Callithrix jacchus: one gene and its partners. The protein of the gene in region 1 purifies or fractionates together with the protein of each later gene. This does not show direct contact. Links are inferred from orthologs where the notes say so. Each region holds a gene or a part of one and is shown in the gene's direction. Other genes may lie near its edges.

What was found. Proteins that work in one complex are often made in the same cells at the same time.
Region 2: the proteins of SDC2 (region 1) and CAMKV purify together in Homo sapiens (affinity purification with mass spectrometry; 3 studies listed by BioGRID and IntAct, counting the BioPlex papers as one, with this or other methods). This does not show direct contact. The link is inferred for Callithrix jacchus from reciprocal best matches to the Homo sapiens genes SDC2 and CAMKV.
Region 3: the proteins of SDC2 (region 1) and AMPD2 purify together in Homo sapiens (co-immunoprecipitation; 3 studies listed by BioGRID and IntAct, counting the BioPlex papers as one, with this or other methods). This does not show direct contact. The link is inferred for Callithrix jacchus from reciprocal best matches to the Homo sapiens genes SDC2 and AMPD2.
Region 4: the proteins of SDC2 (region 1) and FGF2 purify together in Homo sapiens (affinity purification with mass spectrometry; 4 studies listed by BioGRID and IntAct, counting the BioPlex papers as one, with this or other methods). This does not show direct contact. The link is inferred for Callithrix jacchus from reciprocal best matches to the Homo sapiens genes SDC2 and FGF2.

The regions. Positions count from the first base shown.
Region 1 is NC_133517.1:30,649,788-30,653,287, reverse strand, and holds part of SDC2 (syndecan-2), read left to right. Parts: intron 1-3,016; coding exon 3,017-3,150; intron 3,151-3,500. UniProt on the Homo sapiens protein: Cell surface proteoglycan which regulates dendritic arbor morphogenesis.
Region 2 is NC_133516.1:32,480,156-32,484,149, reverse strand, and holds the start of CAMKV (caM kinase-like vesicle-associated protein), read left to right. Parts: upstream 1-1,194; 5' UTR 1,195-1,343; intron 1,344-2,319; 5' UTR 2,320-2,457; intron 2,458-3,994. UniProt on the Homo sapiens protein: Does not appear to have detectable kinase activity.
Region 3 is NC_133508.1:147,514,531-147,518,666, forward strand, and holds the start of AMPD2 (AMP deaminase 2), read left to right. Parts: upstream 1-1,336; 5' UTR 1,337-1,371; coding exon of another isoform or gene 1,372-1,439; coding exon 1,440-1,530; intron 1,531-1,701; exon of another isoform or gene 1,702-2,579; intron 2,580-4,136. UniProt on the Homo sapiens protein: AMP deaminase plays a critical role in energy metabolism. Catalyzes the deamination of AMP to IMP and plays an important role in the purine nucleotide cycle.
Region 4 is NC_133504.1:74,801,083-74,805,097, reverse strand, and holds the start of FGF2 (fibroblast growth factor 2), read left to right. Parts: upstream 1-1,215; 5' UTR 1,216-1,232; coding exon 1,233-1,923; intron 1,924-4,015. UniProt on the Homo sapiens protein: Acts as a ligand for FGFR1, FGFR2, FGFR3 and FGFR4. Also acts as an integrin ligand which is required for FGF2 signaling. Binds to integrin ITGAV:ITGB3.

The DNA.
Region 1 (3,500 bases):
TCATTGTAGGGACAAATCAAGCAAATTATATGTAAAATGTTGATGGATAATTAAGTCAGCTGATAAAAAAGTGTACTATTTCTGGACCCATCATTATTAATTAACTGTATATATAACAGTTCATGCATACAGAATGCTTTAAATATGTATCTGTCTGTGAGATACGTATCTGTGACATATATGTACCTTTATGGGTTAGTTATTAGAAGCTCCTTTTACAGATGAAGAAAATAAGACTCAAGTATGACTTGCCTAAGAGTACAGAGCTAATAGATGCCAAAACCAGTAGTAGATTTGTTTGCTTTTTAAATACCAAACTCTGCATTTATTCCAACATGCCCTGCCGTTTCTTCTCTATAATAGTAAATGTATATGTTTTGAAATTAAAGGAGACAGTTGATATATTAAGAAAAGAACCATCCAGGAGCCAGGCACATTGCCTCATACCTGTAATCCCAACACTTTGGGAGACCCAGGCAGGAGGATCCCTGGAGCTCAGGAGCCTGAGACCAGCCTGGCAACATAGTTGAGACCTCATGTCTACAAAAAATTTTTTTTTAATATTAGCTGGGCATGGTGGCGCATACATTTAGTTCCAACTACTCAGGAGGCTGAGGTGAGAGGATTGCTTGAGCCTGCAAGTTTAAAGCTACAGTGAGCCATGATCGCACCCCTGCACTCTGGCCTGGGTGACAGAGGAAGAAAAGAAAAAGAAAGAAATGAACCATAGCCATTGCACATGTTTCCAGCATGTCACCTGTTGCTCTCCTACCTGCTTAGTGCATTGATACTATTCTGTGGAAAATACCCAATTTCTTTTGTTTGAGGAATTTAGAGGTATTTATCATTCATTGTTGTCTGAGGAAGCCTGGTTATTGTTAGAGTTTGAGTTCGTTTGAGTTGTTACAAATTTGACAAATGATCAACTTAAAAGGAATGTTTTATTTGAATGTCAGAAATTCTCAAATGCTATTCTGGTGAAAAAGCAACAACAAATAGAAATCATGCCCAGAAAGTCACTTGTTGAACAAATACCAGATCAGAGTCTGTTATGTCCTAGACACTATGTTAGGCCCTCAGCGAGCAATTCCTTGGCCTTACAGAGTTTCCAGTCTTGTAGGGGAGACTTTAATTAATAGTTACACACACAAATGCATAATTATAAATTTGCAATAAGTGCAATCAGGGTAAGAAGGGTGGTGCTAAAAAACCATTTAACAGAGATCTCTGACCTAATACAGAGGGTAGGTTTTCCCTGAGGTCTGGGGGTAGATTAGGAATTAAGTAGGTGAGATTTTCTGGCAGAAGGATTAGGATGCCATGGCTGGAGCACATGGTAAATGATGCTCAAGGAAGCTGAGAAGGCGAGTCAGGGGCTGGATCACACAAGCCTGGGCTGAGGCATTTCTTAATATATTTTTTCCAAGAGCAGTGGGGGACCATTGTAAGATCTTTAAACAAGGGGATGATGAAGTCAGTAGACAATTTGTGGCCAGAGGACTGGGCTGAATGGGGCCTGTTAGGAAGAAGGCAGGTACAGTGGTTTATGGAAAGGTCACAGTGGCTTGGATTGCAGTGGTGGTTCTGGAACTATAGAAAGGTGTTAGGAGTGGAGGGATAATAAGAAGATAATAGGACTGGATAATGGATTCAAAAACAAGGTGAGGAAGAGGAAGTCAGAGTTTTTGGTGTATAGGAACAGAGGGTTTCAGTCACTACAAGGTCACATGGGGAGAAGACAAAAGGATCATGAGTTCTGGTTTGGACATGTTTAGAGGTATGTTGTACCTTTTAGTCATTCAAGTGAAAATGCCAGGTAGCCCACTGGATATATGAATCTGACTTTGAGAGGGGTGGTAAAAGCCAAGGATGTAAATTTAGGTATCATCTGTGCTTAGATCATCCCTTATTGAAGTTATGGACATGGATGAGGGAAGAAGTGTAGAGTAAGAAGAGACCTAGGGACAGACCTTCAGACACTCTTTGATATTTGGTGTTCAGGTAGAAGAGGATAAACCAGAATGGAGACTTAGAAAAGCCAGAAAGGTGAGGGGGAAGCCAGGAACTCATAAGAGCCCAAAGAAATAGGGTTTTTCAGATGGCACTTGACAATGTGTGATTGTGCTAGGAAGTTCTACAAGAGGAAGGCGATTCTGAAAAGTGCCATTGGGTACTGTGGATACTTGTGACCTTAACAATACAGTAGTAATAGTGATGACAGGGAAAATGCTCCTGGAGGGAGTAGAATGTAGTGTGGAGAAGATGATGAGGACAAGAGCTAGTGAGTACCACCCCCATTGGAAGAATCTGCCTGTAAAATGGGGAGAGAGGTCAGGAACTCACATGAAATAAGGAGTCAGCCATGGGAGGGTTTTCCTGTTTTGTGTTTTGTTTTGTTATGTTCTTTTTTTTTTTTTTTGAAACGTAATCTCACCCTATTGGCCAGGCTGGAGTGCAGTGGTGCAGTCTCGGCGCACTGCAGTCTCCGTCTTGCAGGTTCAAGCAATTCTCCTGCCTTAGCCTCTGGAGTAGCTGGGATTACAGTTGCGCGCCACCACGCCTGGCTAATTTTTGTAGTTTTAGTAGAGATGGGGTTTCACCATGTTGGCCAGGATGGTCTCAATCTCCTGACCTCATGATCTACCTGTCTCGGTCTCCCAAAGTGCTGGGATTACAGATGTGAGCCACCACACCCCGCCTGTTGTATTCTTAAAACGGAAATGGAACATGTTTCCGTGTAGATTGGAAAAAATCTTGTCAAGCAGGGAGAATGAAACATGCAAGTGAAAGAAGGGATACTTGAGTGTTGAGGATAATAATATTAAGGAAAAACTTGCCAGGCTACCCACAGACACCTTTGAAATCTCTTCTTCCTCATGGTGTGAAGACCACAGGAAGCTTTGTGCTGAAGTCTTAAGGAGCCCCCATTTTGAAAGAACATGATTCTGTCAGTGTCAACTCAGGCAATAGTACCTGATCATGGAGACATCTGTGTCATGATTGCCTATTTTTCCAGGAGCTGATGAGGACGTAGAGAGTCCAGAGCTGACAACATCTCGACCACTGCCAAAGATACCATTCACTAGTGCTGCTCCAAAAGTGGAAACCATGACGCTGAATATACAGAACAAGATACCTGCTCAGACAAAGGTGTGTTCTGTTTTGCATTGCATTGGATTGCATTGCATTATCAGGTTATTATAAATGCTTCACTTTACTGACTGTATATGAGAGTCCCTTTTTCATTATTTCATTTTCTTCTTTTTGGAGCTACCCATCAAGAACTATGTATCACAGCAGTTCTTTTAAGAGGCCCCATTTAAAATTGTATAAGGACAAATGGTCTTTTCGTGGTAGTGTTATAAATGGCTCTTCCTTACTCTTTTTGATCATTTTGGTATTTACCCACTTATGATTTCTGTCATCCAGGCCCGGATTATATACCACTATTTTTTACATTTTCTACATGACTCACTACAATCTCTGCCTCCCGGGTTCAA
Region 2 (3,994 bases), on another chromosome or scaffold:
CCCTCTGGAGGAATATTTGGAAGAACCTTGTCTGAGGTGGTCACTTCCTACATTAGCCTTCCAGTCTGAGCCCTAAACCAGCAGTCCCTCCTGTCATCAGCCATGGGTTGCCATGCAGGGGAGCCTCAAGATGGCTGAGGGTTTGGGGGTGACCCCAACTCCCTCTTCTGCAGCAGGATTGGGAGGCTCACTGGGAGGAGTGGGGCAAGATAGAGCCCAGCTCCAGACACTGAGGCCTGAGTCTGGCTTTCATATACTGGCCTTAGGATGGTCCTCAGGGCTTGTGAGTGGCATGGAGCCAGCTTTGGGTCCATGAGCCTCACTGACAAGGGACAGAGAAATGACCAAGGACTTGCTTCAAAGCTTCCTCCTGGTGGTTCTGAGCCTCCTCCCTCTTATCAGGGCCCAAGCCAGTTGGGATACCTTGGTGCCACAGTTCTCCTGTGTCCCCATATCCCAGGCCCGGCCACCTAGAGTGAGGCTACTCAGGAAGTGTTTTAGAGTGATTAGACTGAAAAGAAAGCAGAGGCCACACCATGTCACAGGTCACTTTTATAGTTTGGGAAATTTGGTGCCACACAGGAGGGGGCTGACTCTGCCAGACACCCTGGCTGGGACTTATGGTTGGGAAAGACCAGAGGCCTTGCAGGAGTTGGGGGTGGGGTGGGATAGAGACTTTGCTACCAGAGTCTAGGGCCCTCACTATATACACACTGACTACTTGCAAACACATACCTCTGTGTGTTTACTGCTCCTAACTAGAGGATGCTAGTCTGTAGGGGAGCCTGCCCTAGCCCGACTGCCCATCTGGTTTTTCTAAGCGGGTCCTGCCTTTTGGGTCGGGTTCGGGAAGCTGGGCGAAGCCCGGGTCCCCTAGAGATAATGGCTGGCAAGGGATCCTCCGCAACTCCAAGACTTAGGCTTTCCCCTAACTCTTCACTCCCCACCCCTTACATTGAACATAGGAAGCCTCCTCCGGCCCCAGTCTGAGGGCCTAATGGAGCCGTTGAGGACCTTGGCCAGGGCTAAGCAGGCCAGTGCTCACCAGCACCGGTGCCATCCCGCGCGCGCCTGCTCTCCAGTGGGATTCTGCCCTTAAGGCTCCGCCAGGGTCGGGGCGGGGCCGGTTGGAAGGCCCCGCCCCCAGCCCGCCCCCGGCCCGGGGTGCGAATCCGGTGCCGGCAAGCGGCTGGCGATGCTGGAGGTTCGCTAGCCGAAGCGGCTGCATCTGGCGCCGCGTCTGCCCCGCGTGCTCGGAGCGGATTCTGCCCGCCGTCCCTGGAGCCCTCGGCGCCCCGCTGAGCCCGCGATCACTTCCTCCCTGTGACCAACCGGCGCTGCAGGTGCGGGGCGGGCCGGGCTGGGGGCGCTTCCCGAAAGCACGTTGGGGGGCCTTGGGGGTTTGTTTCCCTGGCTTGAGGTTCCGGATGCCGAGTGCGCGGAGGCGCAGCGAGGGCTCGAGGTCCTGGCGGGGTCAGAGCGCGCGGGCTTTGCAGATCTGGGGGACGGAGTGCGGGGTCGGGCTAAAGTTCCCCATTACCTCAGACGGCTTGGGGGTCCCAGGGGGAAGCCTCTGCGGCTTGGAGTTATGAAAAGATTAACCTTCGAAGATTCGTGGTCCCCTGTGAGGGTAGGGGCCGAGAGCTGAGACGTCCCTCCGCGTTCCCAGAGCCGCCTCCAGCCCCTCCCAACTGTCCCCGGGCCCCTTCCCTCCTGCTTAGCAGTCACTAATTTCCATGACAACGGAGAGTTCTTTATGGGCGACAACCCGGAGGGGGCTGGGCGGGGCTGCCGCGGGGTGGGGGAGGAGGCTCCAAGCCCCTGGGGACCAGCAGCCCCCAGCCAAAATTCAGCTTCTGAGCCTTCACCTGGGGACCAGCCGGGGGTCCAATGCACGGACCCGCGTGCACGGTGGGGGTGGGGGCGCACATGCTCCTGCTGGGAGGTGCGGGGCTTAGTGCTCACACGTGTGCTTTCCGCATGTGTGTTGCTGTGCCAGCGGGGGCGAGCCAGCAGCACTTGGGAAGGGGGTCAGGGTGGCACCACGGTGGGGAGCAGGGCCCATGGCTGGAGGTGGCAGGGATAGTGACAGCATAAGCTGCCTTCCCCAGCTTGTACTGTCTGGCAGAGACCCTGGGCTCTTGAGTCCCAGCCCCCTCCCCGCATAGCTCTGCCAAATTGCTTTTGTCTGCACCTCCCAGGCAGAGCCTGCTCCACTAGGTTTCTTCCTAAGGATCAGGGCCTTCTGTCCCACACTAAAAGCTTAGAGTCTGCAGTAGTCCAGTCCCTGTGCTGTACTCCCCTTATCCCCAACCTCAGGCTTTGAGCCCCCAGGACTACCTTCAGAGACCTGGTGTTCTCCCCCAGCCTCAGAGTTGATTATTGGCAGCTTCAGCGACTTCTGAGCCTCAGTTTCCTCAACTGAGAAATTGGTGTCTCCACTCCCCTCAGAATCAGGTTGGTTTCCAGGGTGGGGCAAGGGTTTCCCTTTTCTAATACAGCATTTGGTGTGGACCTCCCAGGTGCCCTCCTAGGTTGGCTGTTCACATAGCTCTGATGACCCTATTCTCCAGCCCCACGCCCTAGCCACTACTCACAGGCAGGCAAGCAGTACTCTGCCCTGGGAGAAGGCCAGATTCCATGGTTTCTATTCGGGGAAACTGAGGCATGGAGAGGAGAAGGGCTGTGCAGTTGTTATCCTGTTTTTGGGTTGCTTGTGATGCCGTTTCTGGCATTCATGGCAGGATCTGCTGTTGGGGGGGGTGGAGAGAGGGGATTAAGCAGAGCTGTAAGAGGGGCTCTGGGGACTGAAAGCCTGGAGAGGATAGCAGGTGGGGGAAGGGGTTGGTTGGGAGGGTCTAGGTACAGCTGGGCCAACTGAGAAGAGGGACTATAAAGGGAAGCAGCCAGGCATCCGAGCCTCATTTCCATCCCCCCATGCATCTGCCTTCAACATGTTGGACTTGCCATACCTAAGCTGCTGTGATGGCAGAGAGAGGGGCTGGGAACTGTCCTGACTGGGGGGGGGCGGGCGCTGTAGCAGCTGGGCTCTTCCCCACCAAGATGCTCTAAGGAGCTGGCCTCCTTTTGGCTGTGCTTCCTACGTTGAGTTCAGTGTATATGTGGGGGATACTGGAGGGTGCAGTCTCAAAGGTCCAGGTACCATGGATAGCTCCTGGCCCAGGGATTTAGAGGCCTTAGGGCTCTGCTGGGCACTCTTCAGCCCCCTTCAGAACTCCCGTCCACCTACCCTTTCCTGCCCTTTGTGCCTGTGTCCCTTTTATTTTGTCATTTCCTTGCTCCTTTTCCATCACAAGTTCTTTGTCTCTCTGTGTCTCTGCCCCATTCTCTTTTTTTCTAAATTCTCTCAGTCTCCCCACATCCCCTTTCTTGATGGGGACCTGGGTCACAGAACCTTGAAGAAGAAGCCAGGCTAAAGTCTCAGGAAATTCTTGAAGAAGGGACCTAACCAACACATCTCCCCTCCCCCTCCCCTTGTTTTAAAACTTCCATCACCATAGCAACCCTTTACTCTAGTGCCTTCCTCTGCATTTCCCCTCCTCCACCCACTGGGAAGCAGAGCCTCCAGTGGATTCTCCTTTAGGGGTTCAGAGATTGGGACCCCAAGTGCTTTGGAGGAGACAATTGGCCTTTGACTCTGCCTGCATGTTGAAAGCTAAACTTTCAGGATGTAGCACTGGACTGCATGCCCACCCCCAAGCCTGGAAAGACCTCCCCCCGATACTCCCTCATTAGATGGGCAAAATTCAGCTGTAGGAATTTCTACCATGATTTAGCTGGAGTCTGAGGCTCAGTCAAAGCAGCCCCTTGACTGGTCCCCTGAAGCAACTGGATGGTGGTCTAGAACCTCGGCCCTGCCTCCTGACAGACTTCGAGTGAAGTCTTCAGCTCCCCTGGTCCTGTGGGTGACATCAGCTGTGAGTTAGGTAGGGCTTGGGCTTCGGCATGTTCATCGCAGCAGGAAACCCAGCCC
Region 3 (4,136 bases), on another chromosome or scaffold:
ATGGTCGGCTCAGGCCAGCCCTACCGCGGTGTGGTGGCTGCCCACGTGGCGCCCAGGAAGAGGAAAAATGGCGGGGCGGGGTCGCCAGGCGTGGGCGGGGCCAGGAGTGGGCGGGGCCAAGGGCCGCAGAGCCTGGCGCGTAGCCGGCGAGATTTTGGTAGGGTCGCACCTGTTGCGTGATTCCCCCATAGTCCGGCCGCAGAAGTCCGACCGTAAATGCCTAGGGAGTGTTGAGAGAAACGTGGACGAGTTCCGGGTCCCGCTCTCTTGGGAGCACGTGGCCCACTTGCCTCTCGATTGCGGGGTTGGGTGGTCGCGACGCCGGGGTCGCCTTGAGGCCAGTCCGGCTGCCGAGGTCTGCGGGAGTCCGCCTCCGGCCAGCTGACAATTTTGAAAGACTACCTTACTTCCCCCATCTCAGTGCCCGGGCGAGGGCCCTTGGAACGACTTGGCCGGGGTCTGGGCCCCGACCCCCCTGCCCTCCCTCAGGACCCAGGATTTCTGCTGTGCAGACCCTCGTGGGCAGCCTCCCCTCGGGACTCAGGCAGCATGGCCTCAGGTGAGTGTGTGTGCGGGTTTTGGAGGGAGGGTCTCTGGGACAGAGAAGTGCTGTGACCAGGGTGCCAAGAGAGTGGGAGTCCCAGCGCAGCCTGCAGTACCTAGGGAAGGCGGTCAGGTCCTCCTAGGAGGGCCTGGGGAGCAGAGTCAGAGTGTGCAGAGACAGAGGAAAAATCCGAAGAGGCTGGGGTCTCTGTCCCAGACCCCCAGATAAGGGAGTCTCCTGGCCTTCCTAGGAGGCACCTTTTTGGCGACGGTGGAATTTTCCCAGCACGAGCTCCTCCCTCCTGGGCTGGGATTCTCGGTTCTTTCCCCTCCTCCCAGAGCTGGGCTGCCCCTGAAGCTGAGGGTCAGATGGGGAAGGAAAAGGGGTGCTGGGTTTTCACGGAGTATGTAAGCCTGCCCTGCCCCGGGAGGACTGTATTTGAGCTTGGGCTCGCTCGCGGCTGAATTCCTGTTTGTTATTCTTTTTGGAAGGACCAGCTAGCCTGGACTTTGGCTTGTTTGCCCTGGAGCCCTGGCATGATGGGGTGAGGGCTCTTGGGGACTTAGTGGAGATCTGGGGGCTGGCCCTTCCCCGTCTTGTTTTCTGCCCACCCACTCCCCCGCCCCCTGCCAGGCCCAGACATCATCAGTCACGTCACTCCAGGGACTGAGGAGGGAGGGGAGGAATAAGGGGCAGAGATAGAGGCCCCACTTCCCGAGGTTGCCTAGACAACAGGAGAAATCGTGGCCAAGGCCTCTTCCGCCTGCGGAGCCGCTGCTTCCTGCATCAGTCACTCCCGCTGGGGGCGGGGCGGAGGAAGGGGTTGGATGTGGCAGAGCCAGGCCCCAACCGGTGCCGCTCAGACTCCCCCGCTGTCGCCGCCGTGGTCCCAGCCATGGCATCCTATCCATCTGGCTCTGGCAAGCCCAAGGCCAAATATCCCTTTAAGAAGCGGGCCAGCCCGCAGGCCTCCACTGCAGCTCCAGGTGAGTGTGCTTCCTGGCCTCAGGATAGATGCTAGGCTCTGTCCCGCCACCTCTCGCCCAAGCGGCTGGTCCCTCAGAGGGGGGCCACCTCCTCCGGCATCCTTCTGCAGTGGTGCCCCTCAACCTCAGTTCCAGGGCCGGCTGGCTTGGAAGGTGGGGTAGGGAGGTGGGGGGGTGGATCTGAGATGTCTGTGCCAGGGATGCTGTCCTGTCAGAGCAGTGGGCATGGTGTGGATGCAGCAAGAGGTGTGTATGCACGTGTCAGCGTGTACATGTGCTACGACTGCGTGCGAAGCGTGTGTGAATGGAGTGGGGGGGTGTGGGACTGACTGCTTTGCGGACTGGCCGCTCTGACTGGCGCCTGTGCCTTTACCGGCGGGCTCAGGCTGTTCTCCTGTGGCTAGCTCCTCTTTCCAGCACCCCACATCTAGATCCCTTTCACTGGGGGTCTGACATCTGGGCACAACCATTGCTGGCTGGCATCCCACAGCTGGGGGCTTGACTGTATCTGTTGTTTGCTATTTGCTCATTCCTGGTCTATGTTTTGAGCCTCCTTAGGAGCATGGGGTGTCCTTCGTCAGGTCTGTGCAGGGTTCAGTCTGGGGCAGCTGCCTGCACTGCGTGTGCTCCTGCACCCTTTGGTTCGTCTCTCACTCTAGTAAGCATCTCTGCACCATTGGAGCAGGCAACGTGGTGCGGCAGTGTCTGTCTTAGTGAGGGCTTAGCTGCCTGGCTGTGCGCTTGCAGAGGAATGTCTGCCTGCTGTCTGCCCCCAGGCCTTGTGGCTAAGAAAGGACCCACCCTGACTTTGATGACCAGATCGTGCTTACTGCTCCCACCCCTGCAGCAGTCTGTAGCTACAGCCCGATTATCTACATCCCCTATTGTTTCACTGAAGATGCCTGGTGCAAGGTCTGCAGTGTCCGGAGGTCTGTGCCATCCAGAAAGGGTGTCCTCTGGGTGGGTCCCTCCCTGGCCCTGTTTGGGTCAGCAGTAGGACAACTGGTATAGATCTAGCCAAGAACCAGAGACCCTTTGGTGGTGAGATGGTAAGAGCATCTGATACTTGTGGGTCAAAACCGTGGACACCTCGGTGCCTACTGAGGCAGTCCTGGCAGTGTGTGAGGGGCTCCTGGTCGGGAGGTGAGATGGGGTGCTCAGAATCTCGGAGTTGGTGGGAGTGGCTGTGGAGTGGTCTGCTCTGGCTTTTGCTTGATTCCTACATGAATGTGCGGTGCTGGCCCCTAGAGAAAGGGCCAGTAGGGAGCTGAGTCTTCTAGGACCGGCCTCTGAGAGCATAGAGGTTACTGCCCATGTGTCACCTTCAGTGAGCCCGAACAGCCCTGGAGAGTGGTTTGGCAGGCTCGGGGATGGCGCTGGCTGTTGGGATCTGTGCTGCTCAGCCCAGGATTGCTGTGGAGCCCTAGACCTCCCCTGCTAGGAGAGAGGCTTGAGATTTGGGCCTTTGACTCGACTCCTGGTGTCCCAGTATGAACCAGCCATGGGGGTCTGCGGTCAGCCTCCTCTAGATGGAGTTAGAAGTGGTCTGGGGCCATAGGTAGGGAGGAGGTGTGTAGAATCAGGGCTCTTGAGCAAGAAAAGATCTTACGCTCTGGGGGTGAGGCAAGTTCCTCTCTTTTCTTTTTTTATTTTTTGAGACGGAGTTTCGCTCTTGTTACCCAGGCTGGAGTGCAATGGCGCGATCTCGGCTCACCGCAACCTCCGCCTCCTGGGTTCAGGCAATTCTCCTGCCACAGCCTCCCGAGTAGCTGGGATTACAGGCACGTGCCACGATGCCCAGCTAATTTTTTTGTATTTTTAGTAGAGACGGGGTTTCACCATGTTGACCAGGATGGTCTTGATCTTTTGACCTCGTGATCCACCCGCCTCGGCCTCCCAAAGTGCTGGGATTACAGGCGTGAGCCACCGCGCCCGGCCAGTTCCCCTCTTTAGTCACCCGCATCTCCACTCGTGCCAAGTTCACTGCCCTTTACTGGCCTTTGCCTTCGCCCTGCACTGGGCCTTCCACCGTTCTCAATGGGTGGGGCGACAAGTAGAAGGTATTTGAGGGTCCCAGGAGTTTGTAATTGTAGGCCCTCACCTCAGCACAGCCTGGTGTTATGCAGAATGCTTGCAGAGCCATTATCTCTTATGGCAGCTGTGGCTAGGCAGGAAGGGACCACATACTGTGTCTCACTTGCAGATGAGGACAAAGCCTCCCAGAGGTAGGTGGAGACATGCCTGTCGGCAGGAACAGAATCAGACCCACACCCTCCACATCCTAGCTCCCTTTCTCCCAAACTTATCCTGGACAGTTTGTCCCATCCCGGATGGTAGCTTGGAACAGGCATTGCAGGTCCAGGAGCCTGTGAACCAGTCCCCTGAGCAGCTGGGTGGCGAGGAAGCCTCAGTGACTGGGCCATTTCCTCAGCTGCCAGCCAGCTCCTTCCCCAGCAGAGACCCTGTCTCTCCTGAGGGACCCCATAGTCAGGGCCCAGAGGACAGTGGTGAGCAACAAGGCCACTGCCAGGGGAAGCCGACCTGGGGCTGTGGGTGTGGAGAGAGCTGCTCCTCTCCTTTTTCTCCCCTCTTACCCTTTGGCCAGC
Region 4 (4,015 bases), on another chromosome or scaffold:
CTTCAGCCATAAACCTAGTAATGAATGAGGAATTTTTTTTCCCCCTTCTCTATAGAACATACACTAGCTGCAAGAAGAAAGAAGAGTATGCCTGGTTTTAAAGCTTCGGAGAATTTACTCACACTCCTATATTTAACATTCTAGAAATGAATCTGGAGTTAAAGCCCTCTTGGAGATTTGAGAAAAATGCACTTATACATGACCTTTTGAAACCTAATGTTTCTACAAGGAAGCACTTGCAACTCCTTCTAGAAGCTTCCCTAAATCTCCTGCTTCCCCAACTGAGTTACCCCATGTCTGAAATGTCACAGCACATAGTCTTACTCTTCTATGGTCTAGTTACTTTCTACTGGTATTTGTGTTACTCATGCTACCCATCTTATCTCCCTCACTGAGTGAAACAGTAATTTTCAGTAGGATATAGCAGGTGCTACAGATGATTAGCAAGTTTGGAAACGCTAGCAAGGGAAAAAATGGGGGAGAAAGTTGTATTTAAACCTTTAAAAGTTGAGTCACGGCTGATTGCGCAGCAAAAGCCCTGCAAGTTTGCTAATCATCTGTCGCACCTGCTATATCCTACTGAAAATTACCAAAATGCAAGAAACTTCAAATTTACATTTGGGATTTACAGAAATTAACTCTGTCTCCAAGAAATGTATTAACAATTCAGCTAGGGCAAATGCCAGCTCCGAGTTAAGACATTAATGCGCTTCTATCGCGATAAGGATTTGGGCCTCATCCTCACCTTTCTGTGTTGTCTAATTCAAGTTGGGTCAGTAACCCAATCTGCTTCCCTTCTCTGGCCTCTTTCTTTCCTTTTGTTGATAGACGACTTTAGTCTCTGTCCTTTATTTTTAAACAGTTCATGCCCCACGTGTACCCCTCGTCTTTTGGTGATTTAGAGATTTTCAGAGCCTGTTCTGACACAGAATCTTCCCTGGATTCCGACTTCTCTACTTTGGGGTGGAAACAGCTTCCCCGTTTTGAAACGCTAGCAAGGGAAAAAATGGGGGAGAAAGTTGTATTTAAACTTTTAAAAGTTGAGTCACGGCTGGTTGCGCAGCAAAAGCCCCGCAGTGTAGAGAAAGCCTAAACATGGTTTGGGTGGTGCGGGGTTGGGCGGGGGTGACTTCTGGGGGACAAGGGACCGTGGAGCCCCGGGACTACCGGGGTCCTGCTGCGGCCTCCGGCGCGCCCCCCGCCCCTCCCCCACCCGGCTGTCCCCGGGACAGATGTCGCGCTTGCGTGTTGTGGCCGAAGCGCCGGACTCAGAGGCCGGCCCCAGAAAACCCCGAGCGAGTAGGGGGGCGGCGCGCAGGAGGGAGGAGAGCCGGGGGCGCGGGTGGCTGGTGGGTGTCGGGGGTGGAGATGTAGAAGATGTGACGCCGCGGCCCGGCGGGTGCCAGATCAGCGGACGCGGTGCCCGCGGTTGCAACGGGATCCCGGGCGCTGCAGTTTGCTGGGCGGCTCTCCCCAGGCGCCGGCCGCGGAAACACCCTTTCCTGAACCCCAGCTTTCGGGCCGCCGGCTCGCGGCGCACCAGAGGCCGGCGGACAGAAGAGCGGCCAAGCGGCGCGAGGCTGGGGGCCCGCGGGCGCGGCCGCGCACTGCCGGGCGGGAGGCTGGGGGGCCGGGGCCGGGGCCGTGCCCTGGAGCGGGTCGGAGGCCGGGGCCGTGGCCGGGGGGCGGCGGCTCCCCGCTCGGCTCCAGCGGCTCGGGGTCCCCGGCAGGGTCCCGGAGGGACCATGGCAGCCGGGAGCATCACCACGCTGCCCGCCCTGCCCGAGGACGGCGGTAGCGGCGCCTTCCCGCCCGGCCACTTCAAAGACCCCAAGCGGCTGTACTGCAAAAACGGGGGCTTCTTCCTGCGAATCCACCCCGACGGCCGAGTGGACGGGGTCCGGGAGAAGAGCGACCCTCACAGTGAGTGCCGGCCCGTTCTCCCCGCCCCATTTCCATTTCCCGGGTCCTCGCCCACTCTCTCCTCTACAGCCTGCGCGCTCCTCCCGGATCTTCATTGCCACCCTAGCGGTCCGTGTGGTTTCTGGCCGCGCGGCCCTCAGCGGTTTCGGGTTCACCACTCGCCCCCTCCTTCCCGAGCTGCGGCGTAGGCCCGGGCGTCCCCCGGGCTTTGGGGTGTTCCAGTTTGCCCCGTAAACCAGTCTCCCCAGCCCCGAGCCGCGGCGCGCCGGGCCCCGGCTGACGGGCTCCCTTCCCGCAGACAACCTGTCGCGTCGGGATGCCCGCGGCCCCGCCGTGCAGCTCTGGCCGCTTGTGTGTCTGCTGTGGGGGACAGAGTGTATTTCCCTCAAAGACAGGACGGGCCGCAGCAGAACAAAACGATCTTTACTGGAAAAACACCTTTCCAGAGTCCTGCCCTTAAATTCCGACTCGGGAAGAACCGAGGCATGTGGCACACTCCTCTCACCCACTCGGTTTTATATTTTTCCGAATTGACGAAAGCTGAAAGAGCAAAAACAAAACCCAACCAGCCAACCAGCAAGAAATCCAGATGTTAACAACTTGCGATAAATTTGTTTCAGTAGTGAAAAGAAGTGCAAACACTTTAACCTTCCCCGTGCAGTGACTAGCTTTGAGACCTTGGGCCGACTTGTAACCCCAGAGCCGGTTTCCTCATCCCTAACGTGGGGCTAATACCTACCTTGCAGCAGGTTTGAGGATGGAATGAGAATTGCAGTTTTGCTTTCTCTAAGAAACAATTTTTATGATTCTAGAAAGAACACTGGCCTAAATCAGGGGTTCCTGGACTTTAGGGGAGTCCCTAAGTCTGGAGTAGGGGCTGAAGATTTGCATTTCTAACCTGTTCCCCGGGGATGCTGATCACATCCAACTTTGAGAGCCACTGGTCTAAAGGAAAGAAGAAAGGGGCGTAGGATGAGCCAATTTACAACACTGATGGAATTTGAAGTGAGAGAAAGAGGACTAGAATATATTTTAACCTGTCCTTCTGTACGTGTGGGTAAAGATATGTTTTAAAAGCTGTGTGTTCTGGCGATCCTTCCTCTATGGGTTCCAGGTGGAGAATCTGATTCTCTCTCTGCCTGAGAAAAGACCCACAGGGGTCTGAGCGCCACTCCCCTGTAGTTCTGCCTTTGTCTTGGGATGCTAGCGGGATGTCAAGAGCCCGGAGAGGGAAGAGGAGAAAATTCTACAGCCAAACGTGAATTGGCAGAAGAAATACAGTTTTATATGAGCTGTGTCTTTATTGCTTCCAAAATAGCAACCAGCAAGAAAGGCAAGTCTTTAATTTTTTTTCAGGCCTGCCATAATTTAAAAATTAAATCACTTTATCCCGTAAAACATGCTTGCAACCTATTACATGGGTTTGTGCTATTTCTCTATTCTGGTAACTTGAGTATCTGTTTCACAACATTATCTTTGTGATTGAAATTTGTTCTGCAGCTGTCTGCTAGGCCATCTCAGCTGAGGAGGGCAAAGTGCTCTGTGTCCCCATTAGTTTTGTCCTTTTCTAGTATCACAAACTATTAACTAAAAAGCATGTATTATGACCAGAGGACAGAAGAATTCTCTAGATGAAGTAATATTTGGGGCTTCCCCTAATACTCTTGTTTTCAAACTCTGTTAGTTGCTGAATCCTTTTTTTCTTGAAGATTTTGATACCGATTCTTCTTAGAATAAGACTATATAGAGGCTAGCCAGTGGACATAATTTTGAATTATATATCACATTACTACCCTTTTAAAAACAGCTGTTAAGTTTTTCTTCCTAACTGTGAGCTGGGTTTTCATTTGTGTAATCTTACTTTAACTCTGTGGTTCTCAAGTGATTTTGCCTCCCAGGGGACATTTGACAGTGCCTGGAGACAGTTTTGGTTACCCTAACCCGGAAAGGGTGCTACTGGCATCTAACAGGTAGAGACCAGGGTTGCTGCTAAACTTCTACAATGCACAGGATAATATCCACACACACAAAATTTTTGACCCCAAATGTCATCAGTGCTCAGGTTGAGAACTCTGCCAACTTTATAACTAGC